4 linked regions of the Canis lupus familiaris genome follow. The protein of the gene in region 1 purifies or fractionates together with the protein of each later gene. This does not show direct contact. Links are inferred from orthologs where the notes say so. Each region holds a gene or a part of one and is shown in the gene's direction. Other genes may lie near its edges.

The links. Proteins that work in one complex are often made in the same cells at the same time.
Region 2: the proteins of NCL (region 1) and NPM3 fractionate together in Homo sapiens (co-fractionation; 4 studies listed by BioGRID and IntAct, with this or other methods). This does not show direct contact. The link is inferred for Canis lupus familiaris from reciprocal best matches to the Homo sapiens genes NCL and NPM3.
Region 3: the proteins of NCL (region 1) and RPL7 fractionate together in Homo sapiens (co-fractionation; 3 studies listed by BioGRID, with this or other methods). This does not show direct contact. The link is inferred for Canis lupus familiaris from reciprocal best matches to the Homo sapiens genes NCL and RPL7.
Region 4: the proteins of NCL (region 1) and POLR1C purify together in Homo sapiens (affinity purification with mass spectrometry; 3 studies listed by BioGRID and IntAct, with this or other methods). This does not show direct contact. The link is inferred for Canis lupus familiaris from reciprocal best matches to the Homo sapiens genes NCL and POLR1C.

The regions. Positions count from the first base shown.
Region 1 is NC_049246.1:43,521,457-43,525,719, reverse strand, and holds the start of NCL (nucleolin), read left to right. Parts: upstream 1-1,463; 5' UTR 1,464-1,610; coding exon 1,611-1,628; intron 1,629-2,779; coding exon 2,780-2,896; intron 2,897-4,078; coding exon 4,079-4,263. UniProt on the Homo sapiens protein: Nucleolin is the major nucleolar protein of growing eukaryotic cells. It is found associated with intranucleolar chromatin and pre-ribosomal particles. It induces chromatin decondensation by binding to histone H1.
Region 2 is NC_049249.1:14,559,223-14,563,162, reverse strand, and holds NPM3 (nucleoplasmin-3), read left to right. Parts: upstream 1-1,284; 5' UTR 1,285-1,328; coding exon 1,329-1,446; intron 1,447-1,745; coding exon 1,746-1,831; intron 1,832-2,152; coding exon 2,153-2,272; intron 2,273-2,391; coding exon 2,392-2,485; intron 2,486-2,865; coding exon 2,866-2,978; 3' UTR 2,979-2,986; intron 2,987-3,079; 3' UTR 3,080-3,440; downstream 3,441-3,940. UniProt on the Homo sapiens protein: Plays a role in the regulation of diverse cellular processes such as ribosome biogenesis, chromatin remodeling or protein chaperoning. Modulates the histone chaperone function and the RNA-binding activity of nucleolar phosphoprotein B23/NPM.
Region 3 is NC_049250.1:22,367,157-22,371,162, reverse strand, and holds the start of RPL7 (60S ribosomal protein L7), read left to right. Parts: upstream 1-1,206; 5' UTR 1,207-1,226; coding exon 1,227-1,240; intron 1,241-1,985; coding exon 1,986-2,094; intron 2,095-2,438; coding exon 2,439-2,605; intron 2,606-3,317; coding exon 3,318-3,455; intron 3,456-3,569; coding exon 3,570-3,679; intron 3,680-3,980; coding exon 3,981-4,006.
Region 4 is NC_049233.1:12,166,440-12,170,547, forward strand, and holds the start of POLR1C (DNA-directed RNA polymerases I and III subunit RPAC1), read left to right. Parts: upstream 1-1,308; 5' UTR 1,309-1,399; coding exon 1,400-1,468; intron 1,469-1,592; coding exon 1,593-1,664; intron 1,665-3,039; coding exon 3,040-3,147; intron 3,148-3,368; coding exon 3,369-3,501; intron 3,502-3,777; coding exon 3,778-3,897; intron 3,898-3,985; coding exon 3,986-4,108. Other genes in the region: protein YIPF3, read right to left, coding at 188-385, 1,008-1,088. UniProt on the Homo sapiens protein: DNA-dependent RNA polymerase catalyzes the transcription of DNA into RNA using the four ribonucleoside triphosphates as substrates.

The DNA.
Region 1 (4,263 bases):
AGGGGATTCCTGGGTGGCTCAGTGGTTTAGCGCCTGCCTTTGGCCCAGGGCGTGATCCCGGCGTGGAGCCTGCTTCTCCCTCTGCCTGTGTCTCTGCCTCTCTCTCTCTCTCTCTGTGTGTTTGTGTGTCTATCATGAATAAATAAATTTTAAAAATCTTAAAAAAAAAAAAAAAAAGAATTGCAAAGTAACTGGATGGTTCACAAGAATATCCGTGAGCCCCTGTTAAAACACAAAATCCCCGTCCCCAACCCAAACCTCTTGAATTAGAATCTCCACGGAGGAGCCTCTAAACAACAGTTCAATTGTGGAAATATACTGATAGCTGAAGGGATCCTGGTTTTGTAGAAACATGGTAGGTACTGGATGTCCAGGTTATGTCGCAGGCGGGCTCTGTACCGAAGGAAGTGCTCTGGGATGTTCGGCACTAACAAGTTTGCCCACAATGACCCATCAAAATAACTGGCAAAAGCAAAAGGCAAAGGCCCTTCTGTGCCTCCGCCATTGAGGGCACCTTTCCTTTGGCTCTTGGGACCCTTAGGTGACACGGAACCCTCCTCAGTCAGCACACCTTAAGGTATGCTTTAGTCCCAAAAAACAAAAAGGGAACTTGCGCGGCCAATGGGTCGGTGTTTGGCCTGACCAAGTTCCTCCCCCCGCCGCCGTTGTAACACCCGGTGACCACCAGAAAGTTATTCCTCCGGGCCTGTTCCTCGTTGGGACAAAAACCTAGCGCATGAGGTGGCTGGACATTAAATGTGGCGTTTGTGCAGCGCTCACAGACATCCGCGACCGTCTTTATTAACAGCCCTCAGGAGGCAGCTTCGGACACGTGGCCCGAAAGAGAACCACCTGCAGACGGCGCGGGGGGGGGGGGGGGGGGCGGAGGCGGGCCTCCAACCCGGGCGCTTTGAACCTCACGGTCCCCGAATTTCCGGAGGTCTCGGGCTCATCCGCGGAGGGAGAAGCGGGCGAACACTTTCTCCTCGGCCGCCGGGCGGCTCGGCGTGGAGAGCGGGTCGGAGCCGCGCGTAGGGCCGCCTGGCATCTGCAAGGCCTCCGGCGTCGACAGCACCCTGGACACTTTCGGGAACCGGAGACCACCAGTACCCAGCCTCCCGGGGCTCGGGAACAAGCGGCGCCAAAAACGGCCGTCTTACCGCGCAGGCGTCGCGAGCGCGGGCCGCGGAGGGGCACTTCAGGAACCGCGCGCCCACTACCCAATCAGCGCGGGCCCTGCACAAAGCGAGTCCCGCCCCCAGGGCGCCGCCACCGAATCCCCTCCCCCTCCCCTGCCCGCTTCGGCCCGCCCACTCCCGCCTGCGCCCCGCCCCGCGCCGTTCTTGGGTAGAGGCTCGCGATTGGCCCACGGGATGGGCGCAGCCTCTGATTGGTCGAGACGGAGTCACGAGGGCGCCGTCGTCGCCTTTCCAGAGGCGATTACTGGGCAGGCTCAGTCTTTCGCCTCAGTCTCGAGCTCTAGCGAGCAGCCAAGCGTACGCGCTCCGGGAACCTCTCGTACCCGCGGCCGCCATCGACGTCGCTTGGATTCTTCTGGGCTCGTCTGCGCCACTCGCCCGCCACACACTCCGCCGGCATAAGCCGCCATCATGGTGAAGCTCGCAAAGGTAAGAAGACGGCTTGCGCAAGCATGGACGTCGAGGCCTGCTTTCTGAGGAGCGCGCGCGCGGCGCCGCGAGGAGGAGGGCCTGCGCGCCGTCCCGGGCGCGTTCGAGGGCGCCATGCTGCGGGAAATCTCGCGCGATCGGCGGGGAGGTCTCGCGGCTTTTGGCTATTTGGTAGCGAGGTGAAGAGCTTCGGCAGGTTCCGCGGGTGGTTGGTGCGGCGCCGAAAGACTTAGGGACTGAGTGGGGAGGGGGCGCTGGGCCTCGGGGTGGAGGGATGATGCCGAACTCCTGCGACGGGCCCAAGCGGGGCCCCGCCTCCTGACGCACGTGCCTCAGCGCGCTGCCCGCCACGTGGGCCGCGCCGCGTGTGTCCCGGCGTCTGCGGAGGGGACTTGGAGGGGAGGCGGGGGGCTGCGGGATGGTTTCAGATGGAGGCCCCGTGGCCTGTGGGCCCCGGCCAGACAAGCGGGCGCGAGGTGGGCTTCAGGAGGAGGCCTTGCCTCGTGCTTTCTGCGCCCTGCTGCGCGCACATGGTGACCTACGGGGTATCCCCACGTGGCTCTGCCTGGTCTGGAAGGGGCGGGGTTTTTTTCCACGGGAAAGAACTTAATGGGGAGACCAAAGGTAGTAAGATTAAGGTCTGATTTTCTTTTATAAAAGTTGTCTTGAAGATCCTGCCCCCAAATTTGGATTCAGGCGACTGTGTAAGATCTGGTGCTAGAATTTACCAAAAGCTTTTTTTTCTCCCCCCCAGGTGTGGTTCTCCGCCCCCGGTGAAGGGCTATGAATTGTTGGCCGTTAAAATTGGCCAGTTGTAGTCTATTAAAATCATGCGTGATGTAATGGTCGGTTTTGGAAGTATCGTTTTAAAAACGGATGTGCTTAACGAAGGCAAAAGGAGGAGGGAGATAATATTGTTGTAGTTGCATTTTTATCCTTGAGTTTCTGTAAAACCTGACAGGAGTAATGGGGTGGGGGTTGGCAGTTGCTGTTTTGACGTTGGCTTCGATAGTGTTCATGTTAATTTTTATATCTAGCATTAGGAAATGTGGACTTTATGTAGGGAGACGGCTGCTTTTTACTCTGAAGAATGATGGCATAATATGAACGGTCAGATGTTTTAGGTGTAATGTGCTAAATGTCTATTTTAGGCTGGTAAAAATCAAAGTGACCCCAAGAAAATGGCTCCTCCCCCAAAGGAGGTAGAAGAAGACAGTGAAGATGAGGAAATGTCAGAAGATGAAGATGATGACAGCAGCGGAGAAGAGGTAATTATATACAACTTTATGGAGACGTGTGTTAAACTATGAAATGGAGAGCTGAAATAGCTGATACTGGATGTATGAAAATATTGGCAAAAATAAGATTATATTCATTGAGTATGGCCTGCTGAGACTGTTTTCCAAGCTCTTCATTAACATGTTGATATAGGTAAGTATTTGAATTTGAGAGAAAAAATTGGGAGTCCTTTTTTCATGTGCATTTTTTGTAGGGCTTGGTGTTATATTTGTGTTCAGCCATGACATTTTTCTAGTTTGAGTATGTTAACCCCCACCTTACTAGATAAACAAACAGCCTGGACTATTAACTGTTAAGTAAGTGGCACTCCTGTGCATTTATTCAGGTCTGAGGTTAGCTTTACCAGATTACTTTCCTAGCCTCCAAGCAGGATTGATTTGTCTCTCATTGTATAAGAGCATCGTGATACTGGTTACTGAACATCTTGGTGTGGGTTGAGCGTTGCCACCTCACTTTGTGTTAACCTATTACTGTTTGCTTACTGTAAAGACAACTATTGTATTTGTGTTTAGATTTCTTGTTTAGGATGTAATGAATATTTTACTGATGATATGGTACCCAGTAAAACTAGGAGTGAGCAAAAAAGTATAATTTTAATGTAGATGAACGATGGTTTTTATCAGGTTTAAGGTGCTTACTCTTTACTAAACTTAGGAAGAGCTAACTATCCAGTGTATTTGATACTCATTTACTGGTCTTAAGAACAAGCCTTCAATGAACCACTGCCCACTGTAGGACCTCTGAATGATTCAGTAGCATCTAACAAGTAGAGCTTTCTTTGTGCAAGACTTCTAATTACATATATATGTCAACTCCTAATCTAACAATATGTAAGGTTGGTGCTGTTATCCCTTACAGAGGAGAAAAAAAGTCGAGGCTTAAAATTTTCTTAAAGCCTGTTTTAAAGTTGCAGTTATAATGTGTGAGGTATTTTAGCTGTTAAAAAGGGGCTCTATATGCTTGAGTATTTTACCTGAAGATGAAGGCTGTGATTTCTGGCACATGGTTCTGTAGTTTAGCATGCTAACATAACATCCAGTGCATGTGGGTCTGAAACCAGAACAGTGTTAGAATTTAGTCTCATTCATGGGACCAAGGCTGTCTTTTTGGGTTTGGAAGAAGACTTACCTTTGGTTTTATTTGTTCTTTAGGTTGTTATTCCTCAGAAAAAAGGAAAAAAGGCTACCACAACTCCAGCAAAGAAGGTAATGGTTTCCCCAACAAAAAAAGTCGCAGTTGCCACACCAGCCAAGAAAGCAGTTGTCACCCCTGGCAAAAAGGCAGCAGCTACACCAGCCAAAAAGGCGGTTGCACCAGCCAAAGCAGTAGCAACACC
Region 2 (3,940 bases), on another chromosome or scaffold:
GTTTAGATCACAGCTCAGTTCCTGTAGAAAACGAACTGTAAAACTATCTGAAGACCATGCAAGAGGCAAAATAAAACTTGAAGTGAATGTGGTGTGGTGGTGTACTGTGTAAACCTACTTGTTTCTTCCTGGTGGTACCTTTTCTCCTGGCTTTCATGCCTCATCTACAAGCAAATATTCTCCACAGCTGTTCCAAGTTAGGGGCTGCACCTTCCCATTCTCATCACCAGTAAAAGACTTCCAAATTTTCCCCAAGGCAAGGTAAAATATAAAAGTAATTCTTGGCCAAGCCACCCTCTTCCCACAGTTAATAGCTTGGGTGTGAGTTAGGGCAGCTAGTTTAAATGAGTTCCCTGTATCTAGTGGAATAAGGAACAGTTTCACAGTTTATCGGGTTCTTTGGTCAAAAGGTGAATGATGGGGGTTGCGGGGAGTTGCCCAAACTATGTGACCGAGGAGTCTAAGGTGGGAGGATGTTCTGGATTGATTCAGAATTACAAACTCCAAAACGTCTGCTAGGAAGAGCAGCCCCAAATCTGAGATGATGTCCGTCAGCATCCAGCCAGCACCTGAAGCTCAAAGATAGGCCTTCTGGGTAGTAACCTTAAGATGTTAGATTAGGAAGAGGACCGAGTGGTTCCATAGTTCCAAGAGAAAATACCATAGCTGAAAAGTCTTTCAGGATCCTCAGCTCTAGGAGCAAAGGCAAATAGCATATTTTTTATGCTTTTACAAGAAAAACGCAGTCCTGGGGGATGCCTGGGTGACTCAGCGGTTGAGCCTCTGCCTTTGGCCCAGGGCGTGATCCTGGAGTCCTGGGATCGAGTCCCACCCACATCGGGCTCCCTGCATGGAGCCTGCCTCTCCCTCTGCCTGAATCTCTGTCTCTCTGTGTGTCTCTCATGAATAAAATAAATACTTAAAGAACCGCTGCCCTGAAATTCGCCTTTACGAGGCGGGTGTTGGAAGGGATTCCACTTTTCTACTTTGGAAATAATAACGAACGCTTACCCTGGAGTGGAGACAGCAGAGGCTGCGAAGAGCTAGAGAAAATGGAGGCTGGAGCCACTCCATGACCACTCGAGAGCCGTAGTCATGGAAATAAGGATATTAACATGAAAAAGATCCACTGCTGTTACTTTCCTGCAGTCCTAACAGAAGTCTGACCGGGGGCCGCGCGAGCTCCCAGGCGAGGCAGCCTAGCACTGGTTGCGCCTCGGTCCCTCCCCTCAAGCCCAGCGGCTCCTTTAATGGGCGGGGCCGGAACCCGCCGCGAGCTCCCCGCTCTGTACGTGTCGGGGGCGGAGCTCCCAGACGGCCCTTGCAGCATGGCCGCCGGCGCCGCGGCCGCTTTGGCGTTCCTGAGTCAGGAGAGCCGAGTCCGGGCCGGGGGAGTCGGGGGTCTGCGGGTCCCGGCTCCGGTCACTATGGACAGTTTTTTCTTCGGTATTGAGGAAAAGAGGGCATGAGGGTGGTGCTGGGGCGGCCAGGGGCAGGGCTGAACAGGAATGCAGATGGGAACACGACGTGGGTGGGGGCGGAGGGGGCCCGCACGCGCAGCCCAAGCAGACGGGGTGGCGCGACCCCTGCAGCACATGTGCGGGGTGGAGTCCAGGGCCGAGCGCCCTAGGTGTTCTCGAGGAGAAGCGGGCGCGTAGGCGGCCGCTCGGACCACGACTGCACGTTCAGAGGTTTGGTGGAACGCCCCTCACGCACACTCAGACACACACCGTTCCCTCTTCCAGGCTGTGAGCTCTCCGGCCACACCCGCTCTTTCACCTTCAAGGTAGAGGAAGAGGATGATGCGGAGCATGTGCTGGCCTTGACCATGGTGAGGTTTGCTGGGAAGGGTGGTGAATAGCTGGTCCTGAGCAGGCACCTCGGGGGCCTCTACCTGTCCCCCCAGTCCCCTTTACTGAGAGTCACCTCCTCTGCCTGACAGAGGCAGCTTCTCTTGCGAGGTGACTTTCATGTCTTTCATGCCTCATCTACAAGCAAGTATTCTCCACAGCTGTTCCAAGTTAGGGGCTGCACCTTCCCATTCTCATCACCAGTAACGGACCGCTTGGGCGGGGCAAGTTCTAGGGTAGATGCCTCCCCTTGTGTCAGCCCTTGTTTGGGGAGACCCTAAGGCCTTGTGTACTCTTTCCAGCTCTGCCTCACCGAGGGGGCCAAAGATGAGTGTAACGTAGTAGAAGTCGTGGCCAGGAATCACGACCACCAGGAGATTGCGGTCCCTGTGGCCAACCTCAAGTTGTCCTGCCAACCCATGGTGAGTTCTGCCCAACCAGGTGATGGAGGTGGTGGTGTGGAATCCAGGACTGAAGGACTGACAGACTGATTCATCACAAGATGGGGCAGGCCAGGCCTTCATCCTTGTCTTCCTTCCAGCTCAGTTTGGATGACTTCCAGCTCCAGCCACCTGTCACCTTCCGCCTGAAGTCAGGTTCTGGTCCTGTGCGGATCACTGGGAGGCACCAGATTGGTGAGAGTCTTCTCCTTTGGATCTAGTGGATTCCTCATCAGGTCTCCCACCCCAGTCCACACTCCTACCCCATCCCAGCCATATCTCCTAGTGCAGCTCCCATATGGGCCGTACCGTCCACTGTCTTCAAGCCTACCTCCTGCATGAAACCTGCCCCAGTGTCTCCACCTCCACTAATGTGGTCTCCTTTGGCTCTCTGTCATCTTAGTATTGGAGGTTCTTCCCACCCAGGTCATCAGCTCTGGGAGGTCAGGGTCCCTGCAAGCTTAGCACCACAGGGCATGAATAAATGGCATTGGGGGTTGATGGGTGGGTTGGGGAGGCACCCCCCAGACATGACTTTTCGTTGCACCTCTTCCTTATGCTTATGTGTCCACCAGTTACTATAAGTAATGACGTTTCTGAGGAAGAAGAGAGTGAAGAAGAAGGTAGTGAGGAGGAAGCTGAGTTGTGCCCCATCCTGCCTGCCAAGAAGCAGGGGGGTAGGCTCTAGCCTCTTTGGTGAGTTGTGGGAGGGGTGTCCAGCCAGGTCTGGGACGGGGTAGGACCAGCAGATGAAGGCCTAGATGCTGACCCCTTGTTTGCTCTCCTTAGGTCTGCTGTTTGCCTGCCACATGTGCCATGCACCATGTTCCTATACAAGTTTCAAGAAATTTAAATATGTCTTCTCCATTGAAGAGGAGGGGTGGGGATGGGGGGATCTTGAGCTGGTGCTAGGAGAGAGTCTGGTTGTATCCTTCACAGGACCCTGGTGTTTTTCTAATCTTATGCCATACCTGGGGCTTCCCTTTTCTCCATGAATGGGAGAAACTCTGAACTTCTATCCTCACCCTCTCTCCCCACTTGCCTATGAGATTGGAGATCAGCATTTGAAGCTCAGGACTACACATTTTTAATAACTTTTTACATTTTTGGATAAAGGCTTAAATAAAGTGATGTGGAGTTTTGCAACTCACTTGTGTGACTTCTTTACCTGCTAGTGTGGTATTCCCCTAGGGACCACCAGGTGGCACTGTGGCAGCACCGAGGGTGGCCCTAGGCCTGGGGAGGGTGAGGAAATACGGGATCCTGCTATCCCTAGGATAGCAGGGGGGGGGGGGGGGGGGGGGGGGGGGGGGGGGGGGAGGCCAGGCTCGGGCCCCAACTATCTTGCTAAAAGAGGACCTCCCAACACCAAGCCCATTCCCAGTCCCATAGGTGGGGGAGGGCCATCCCAGGAGGTTATCAGCATCCAAACAAGGGACCTGGGCCTCTGTCAGCACTCAGGCTGATGGGCAGGGGGGCAGATAAGGGGGCTTAAGTAGTCCGAGGAATGTGCATCCCTAACCCCATGAAGGGGCTCAGGCCCTGAGAGGGCCTGTGAGGGGTAAGGCAGAGGCCAGTCATTGCCCCTCCTTCGTCTTGCAGGCTGTCTCTGAGCGGGTCTGGGCCCTTAGAAACCTGATTCCGGGGGCC
Region 3 (4,006 bases), on another chromosome or scaffold:
TTGTCAACTTGACCCAAGTTGCGAAAGGGTGGGAGAGTGGGGTGCGGGGCGGCGGGGGCGCCGCGGAGGGGCGACTCGCCCGGCGCGGCGGGGCGCTGCCCAACGGCTTGCAGCCGCCCCCGCGCTCCCGCGTCCCCTGCCCCGCACTCCCCGCGGCTGTCACTCGGGCACTGGGCTCCGCAGCGCGGCGCCGCCCGCAAGTCGGAGCCCTCCCGGCCGCCTCTGAGCGGGCTCCACGCTCCGCGCTATATAACCCTCGCCCGGGAAGAGCCGGCAGCGGCATCGGCCCTCCCTCCGCTCGGCCCTCCCCGCCCCCGGGCGCACCCCGCCCCCGGCCCAGCCCCCCGCCCGCCGTCCGCCGAACCGCGGCGGGGCAGCCCCTCTCACATGGCCGTGGCCGCAGCCTCCAGCCCCCGTCGCGCCTCCCTTCGCAGCTCACGCCCCCTGCCGCAGGGTGTCCCGGCCTCCGCCTGCCGGGCCTGGCGGGCCGCAGTGCCCGGGCCATCCTCCTCCCGCCGTCGAGTCGGCGCTAGTCCCTATCTCGCCGCTGTGGTTGAGCAGCGGGACTCTGGACGGCCCCGCCTGCGATCAGGCGCTGAGGAAGACAGCCCCGCAGGCTGGCAGGAACCGAGACGAGGACCTCGGCAGCGCGGCCGCGGGGTGCCGGCTTGTGGCCAGCGATGGCAGACAGCCGGGAAGGGCCGTCAAAAGACAGGTCTCGGCCGCGACTTGGACTCGCAGCCAGCCCTGTGGAATGTGGGCCGAAAGGCTCTCATTTTCCCTGGCTGAACTCACCACCGCCGTGGTTGCCTACAGCCCCCGGTCGAGCGTCGCCCTCCGGCCGGGCGGGCGGTGAGAGTGCTGCATGCTGGGACTTGTAGTTCACGCCGGTGCGGCGTGTTATTTGCGTCCATCGCCGGGTGCACTTCGAGTCCGCGCAGCCTGGGGACTAGGACCCCGAGGAGTCAAGGTGTCAGCATTCTTTGCTCTTGTGATGCTGATTAAAGAGTCTAATCGGTGCACGCACTATCTCCTACGAATTTTGCCCGAAACTTGATCGCAAGAGGCAGACACAGGGAGCACCTAATTTTGTGTCTGCGAGAGTTCTCAGTTGCGAGTTCTTTTCTGGCTTATCCCGGGACACCTATGAGTTGTGGGGCTTCGCGCTTGTCGTCTTTAAGTGGGCAGCGCGCATGCGCCAACTTCCTCTTTTTCCGGCTGGAACCATGGAGGGTGCAGAGTAAGTTGCTCTTCGTCCGCTTGATAATCCTTCTCCATCCACGAAACTGGGGATTTTTTGTCTCGTTTTCCCTCGATCCGGCTGTAGCCTGTACCTTTACCCACTTGTCTGTGTGTTTGTGACGCTCTGTGACACTAGTGGGGGGGCGCCAGGCCAAGATGGGATGCAGGCGGCCTTGGGGCGGAGGTTTGGGATACCGGGAACGAGGGATGAGAGCCGAATAGGTGCGCGACCGGTGGGAGGCTCAGAACGCCTCAGTTGGGCTCATCGTTGCCTGGTATTTGGCCCGGTCGCCCCTGTCGTCAGGCCTTTGCTTTCAGCATGTGGGACTTCAGACCTGAATGAGGGCGGTGCTTGGGAGGTTTTCACAACGTCTTTTCCTGAGACTCCTAAGCTCTTCACGCGCAGACTCGGGAAGAGTCTAGGGGTAGATCGAGTCCTGCAGCAGGTTCCTCGGTCTCTGCCGTGCTGGCTCTAACTGGGAGCCCGGGACTGACCGTGCATTCGCTGGGAGTGTGCTGTAGTCTCGGAGGGCCTCGTGTTGAAAGGCCGAGGATCCCTGGCCTAGAACCCCGCCGAAGTCTGCATCCTGCAGCACAGCACGTTGGAGAAGCTAAAGGGGCGAGGTTGTAGAGCCAGTGACGGCGGTATGGCTCGATGACCAAGCTCGGGACGGACGCGCAGCGGTGCGGGGTCGTGCGTGTGCTGTTGGAGCTGTTGGTCAGTTTGTGTTCACTGATGCCAGAGAGAAGAAGAAGAAGGTTCCTGCTGTGCCGGAAACCCTTAAGAAAAAGCGAAGGAACTTCGCGGAGTTGAAGATCAAGCGTCTGAGAAAAAAGTTTGCCCAAAAGATGGTAAGTCAACTTGTGGGGCACCTCTCCGTGTAAAGAGAGGCCTTGGGGTTGGGATTGAAAATCGGGCTTCCTTCTCAGCGAGGCTTCTTTACCCCCCCCGGGTACCAGTGAGCTTGGGCGTTAGTATTAGCTCTTCAGAGCGACAGTAAATGAAGGTGGTGGTGTCTGTGCTTGGAAATAATTCATGCACCCTACAGCAAGGAAGAGGTTTCAGGGGAACGTTTTTTTCCCTCTGTAGAACTGGTGTTGGCAATAAAGAGGACCGCTAAGGAACTGGTCCTTAGGTGTTAAGGGCTAATGGTGTTGAGTTAAAAATCGGGGGAATAACTGGTCTTGGTTTCCAGCTTCGAAAGGCAAGGAGGAAGCTTATCTATGAAAAGGCTAAGCATTACCACAAGGAATACAGGCAGATGTACAGAACTGAGATTCGCATGGCGAGGATGGCGAGAAAAGCCGGCAACTTCTACGTGCCTGCAGAACCCAAGTTGGCATTTGTCATCAGGATCAGAGGGTAAGTTGGGTTTTAACTGCATCCTGGTTTCGAAGGGAAGTCTACAGGGTCTCAGCAGAACTTCGTAACTTCTGGGGCCGTTGTTTCTGAAACACTAGAATAAAGATTTTGGTGTCGCTAGGACATGAGGTGGTGTTTTGATGGTTTTGTTGTGCAAGCCCTGGGCCCAAAGCCCTTATCTGTTCTCTAACTGGGTATTTGAATTTTAATTCAAAAGAGGCTAAAGTAGGTGGCTCAAAGGTTTAGTGCTGCCTTCAGCCCAGGGTGTGATCCTGGAGTCCCAGGATTGAGTCCCACATCAGGCTCCCTGCATGGAGCCTGCTTCTCCCTCTGCCTGTGTCTCTGCCCCTCTCTCTCTCTCTCTCTCTCTCTCTGTGTGTGTGTGTCTCATGAATAAATAAATAAAATCTTTTAAAATAGAGGCTAAAGTGTAGGTTCATAGGTACTCTTGTATCCAAAACAAGGAAATGAGACAAGTTTTAAATGTCAAAAGGTACGTGTTAACAGAAAGCCTGCTTGTTGTGGAAGAGGCAGGTTGGGTCAGGGGATAGAATAGTTCAGCTAACTAAAGGAAAAACGCCAATGGTCTTCGTAATGTGAAAAGAGTCTTGTTTAGATGGGACTTGAGTTGTCCGAAATTTATAATGGTTAATTCCTCGTTTATTAATATAAATTCTGATAAAGCTCAGTGAATTCTTTTTTTTCGCTGCAGTATCAATGGTGTGAGCCCAAAGGTTCGAAAGGTGTTGCAGCTTCTTCGCCTTCGCCAGATCTTCAATGGCACCTTTGTTAAGCTCAACAAGGCTTCAGTTAACATGCTAAGGATTGTGGAACCGTATATAGCATGGGGGTAAGTCTCTTTTCCCGTGAGTTCTTTCTGAACTGGCTGTGTTAGCAAGATGGGTTTTAAGTATTCTAATGGTGATAACCTTTGGCCATTTATGTCTGGTTTTTCCCGTTTCAGGTACCCAAACCTGAAGTCAGTGAATGAATTGATCTACAAGCGTGGTTATGGCAAGATCAACAAGAAGCGAATTGCCCTGACAGATAACACATTGATTGCTCGGTCTCTTGGTAAGTTCTGCCTGTTTGAGGTGAAATTTGATCTTTGAGACAAAGTTGGCATTTTCTGGCACTTTGTGGCCTTACGTTCTGTTATGAATCTTAGCCATATGCCCTACAATGCACAAGTCTATGGAAAATGTAAGTTATGATTTCAGTGGGTCAAGCTTTATCTTGGTAAATGTAGCCATGTATTTCCCTTTTGTTTCTTTACTCTTGATTTAAAGTCTCTCAGACAGTAGTTGTTGTTGCTGAATATCCTAACATAATCTGTGAAAACAGCTAACGATTTTAATGATCTTAAAATATTCAGGTAAATATGGCATCATCTGCATGGAG
Region 4 (4,108 bases), on another chromosome or scaffold:
GACGGAGTGAAGTGGGTAGGTACTGCGAGAGGTTCTTGGCCATAGTCCCTGTCGCTCACTTTCTATTGGCCTTCTACACAGTTCTAATGGGTTAGGCGACATGGGGGTGAACTTTAACATCAACTCCAGCACTTGGGGGCCTTCCTAAGTATACTTTTCCACCTGCTAGGGATCCAATCCTGCTTACCTGATCTGCCACTTGCCGGCTCAGCTGTCCCTTAAAGCCCTTCATGCCCAGGAACTCCCCATCCTCTTCTTCAGCAGCAGCTGCATCAGCATCTACTTCTTCTTCACGCAGGCGCTGATGCAGTTCACCCATATCCTCAAAGCTGGAGCCTGAGGTATCATCCATGTTCTCCATGTCAATCACAGCTGAGCCCCCACCCTGTGAAGACAATGGCTTCTAGAGTGCAGGCCCTTTCTGTTCCATCCGCGGGTCCTCCTCCGTTCCTCCCAGGATTTGGGACTTTGTTCTTCCACTGCTGGGGATATGGCTTGGAATCACCATAGATCATACCACTCTCTTCCCCTCATCTGCTCTCAGAATCCTTGGTTGTCTGGCTCTCTTTTCTAGCCTGGGAAACCTACCCCCTGTCTTGCATATATGTCTTTCTTCTACCTTCCCTATCAAATCCTCAGAGGGCTGCAAAAGTGCCCGTTTTGTCTTTTCCAATCCCCAAACAAGGCTGTGCACACAGCATGGTTTTAGCCAGCGCCGGTGAATACCGCCCACTCCCTCGCCATGCCTGGCCCCGATCGACCAACAAACTTGTCTCGAAAGCAAGAGCAGGCAGGCCCAGAGGCACGAGGCCCTCTGGCTGGAGCACCAGTCTGGACCTTTGAGGTCAGCACCAGTCCCACTACCTTCCGTGTACACCAAGAGCCAAAGGAGAGGACAAGTGTTGCAAATGGAGCAGACTTCCAAGCTCCCAGGGAGAGTCCCCGCGACGCTTCAGGACGGCTGCCGGCCCTGCGGCTGCCGGCAGCCGGAGCCCTGGGGCGATTACCTGGATGTTTTCTTCGAACCCTCCCCATTCCGGGCCGGCCCCGCTTCGGGCGCCGCCAGCCGGCGCCGCCGTAGTTGCCATGTCCCTCGAGGGCTCCCGTCGCTGAAGCCCGCGCTAGTCCCGCGCGCGGAGGAGGAGTGGGAGAGACGTGGGCCTGAAGGAGGGAGATGTCTAGGGGCGAAAAAGAGCGGTGGGTTCAGCCGGAACGCAAAAAGGAGAAACCCGGATGTTTGGCCCAAACCGACTTCCGGAAGCTGGGGACGTGGACGGAGGCTGCACAGAATCTCGCGATATTTAACATCCCGGGAGGCGGTGCGTTGCCATGGAGACGAAGGAGGGCGACTGGGACGCGCGCGCCAGTTTGCTGCCCTAGTCACGTGGAGGGGTAGAAGATGGCGGCCGCCCAGGCGGTGCAAGAGATGCGGACCCGCGTGGTTCTAGGGGAGTTCGGGGTTCGCAATGTAAGCCCGTGGCCTTGAACTCGGCAAGAGAAATGAGAGTGGAACAGGAGGGATGAGTTGGGATCGGAGTTGGGGCGGGTTTGCCCTACCTGCCCCTTCGCAGACTCGTCTCTCTTTGGTCTAGGTTCATACCACCGACTTTCCCGGTAACTATTCCGGCTATGATGATGCCTGGGACCAAGACCGCTTCGAGAAGGTAGGTGGGGCTGGAGAGGGTATTGGGAACGGATCGTGTGATCTGAGCGGCCTGTGCTTTGGAAACTGCCCGTGGGATTCGCTGCGTTCATAAAACGTTTATTGAGCAATATGCTAGGCCCTCCGTGTACATGGTCTGTGCCCTGTTCGTCGAACAAGATGTTTAATCTTGTTGAAGAGCACGCATAAATGACTCCAGTATGATGTAAAGGTGGTTGGTAGCGATAAGAAAGGACAGTCGTGACTAGGGTGACCCCTGAGGGGCACTTAATCTGGAACGGAAAGCGGGGCAGCGGTATGGAAGATTTCCTTCCTGCAGGAGATGACATCTGAATTGAGCCCTGAACGATGAGTAAAATCTGAGAAAGGGTAAGGGTGAAGGTGGGGGGACGAAGACTAGAAGCTACATTATAAAGGCTTTGTGAACTGTGTTCCAAGAACGTCCAGTTTATTATTGCTAGAATGTAAAGTCGGGCAGCATGAGTGCTAGGCAAGATTGAAGTGCATCTTAGACACTGTAGGTGATAGGGGAAGTTTTGAAGAGCTCTGAGCCAGATGTGATCTGATTTGCATCCTTAACTGTTGGGAAAGATCATAGAGGGTAGTCAGATTTGTGACAGAATTGCATAGAGGAGCTGAGGTTGAAGGTATGAACTAAAATGATAATCAGGAAAGTAGAGCAAAAAGGAGACATGATAAATTTGGTGACTGTTTTGATGTGGGCTGTGAGGAGGGAGTATAAAATAACCTACCTTGAGGAACTGCTTTAATGGATGGTGGTGCCATTTACTGATGAAAAATAGGTCTGGGGAAGGGGAATGATGCTGCATTGTTTCCTGAATGTGAGGTCTAGCAGGCCAGTAAAATGTGTGTTTGAAAGGAGATGAGAAGTGAGAATTTGGGAGTTTTCTGTATATATAGTTGTTAAACCCATGAGCGTGATTGAGGTCACTTTGGAGAGAGATAAAAATCCAGAAAATAGTGACTTTATGGAGTGGGTAGGAGATAGTGAATTTAGAAGGATTCATTGGAGGAGAAAGAACCAGAAGATTGGTGCTCAGAAACCAAGGCAGAGTTGGAAAATGGAGGGATTCTATCAATGCCCGATGGAGGAGTCTAGTAAGAAAGGACAGAGTAGAATGGTCTCTGTGGGTGGTCTGGTTGGAGGATTTAAATGAATAGAGGATAAAAATGGGAACTTTTCAAGAAGTTCATGAAGAATTGGGGGAGAAGGGAACAGCTATGAGGTACATCTGGCCAAAGGGAGGTTCTTGGGTGAGTGGGAACATTGTTGCTGGGGCTGGGGGATATCCAGAGGGACGGTATTGATTCCACAGAGGCCAAGGCTTCATTTAGTGCATTTTCTGTCCCTGTAGAATTTCCGTGTGGATGTAGTGCACATGGATGAAAACTCATTGGAGTTCGACATGGTGGGAATTGATGCAGCCATTGCCAATGCTTTTCGACGCATTTTATTAGCTGAGGTATTTATTGGTGGGCATGGTGGCAGGGACGGAGTTGGGTGGAAACTGAGCCATCACCTTACTTGGAGAATTCTTAGGTTGCTCCTTTCATTTTCCTGAGCATTCCTCCTGAACTTTTCATCAGGTGTTTTTCTGGGAATAGGGCCCCCTGTGTCAGGAAGTAGGAGTAAATAGGGAGTCTGTAGGGTCTCTGTAGATGAATGATTTTATTTTTTGGGCAGGTGCCAACCATGGCTGTGGAAAAGGTCCTGGTGTACAACAACACATCCATTGTCCAGGATGAGATCCTTGCTCATCGCTTGGGGCTTATTCCCATTCATGCTGATCCTCGTCTTTTTGAGTATCGGAACCAAGGTCAGCGCTTGAGAAAACGAAATTGTGGCAAAATGGGAACAGCTGTCTCCTAAAGTAGATTCTAGAGGATCTACTGCCTACGTTCAAATCCTGGCTTGATTACTGTGACCATGAGCAAATCACTAATGTTTTGGTACATCAGTTCTGATCTGTGTGAACACTTGCCCTGGTCTTCTGAAATTGGAAATTTGTCCGAGGAGTAAATGAGAAGTGTAGATTAATGCACTCAAATACTCAGTCGTTCTTTAAGAGCTGCCACTTTCATCCTTTGTTCAGGGGATGATGAAGGCACAGAGATAGATACTCTGCAGTTTCGGCTTCAAGTCAGGTGCACACGGAACCCCCATGCTGCTAAAGATTCCTCTGACCCCAATGAACTCTATGTGAACCACAAAGGTGAGTGGTGGTATGGTGAGTAGGAAGGCCCACCTCTTGATGGGTACTAGTTTTAAGGATTGATGTTTTCCTGATGTGCTTTCTCCAGTGTACTCCAGGCACATGACATGGGTGCCCCTGGGGAATCAGGCTGACCTCTTCCCAGAGGGCACGATCAGACCCGTGCATGATGATATCCTCATTGCTCAGCTGAGGCCTGGCCAGGAGATTG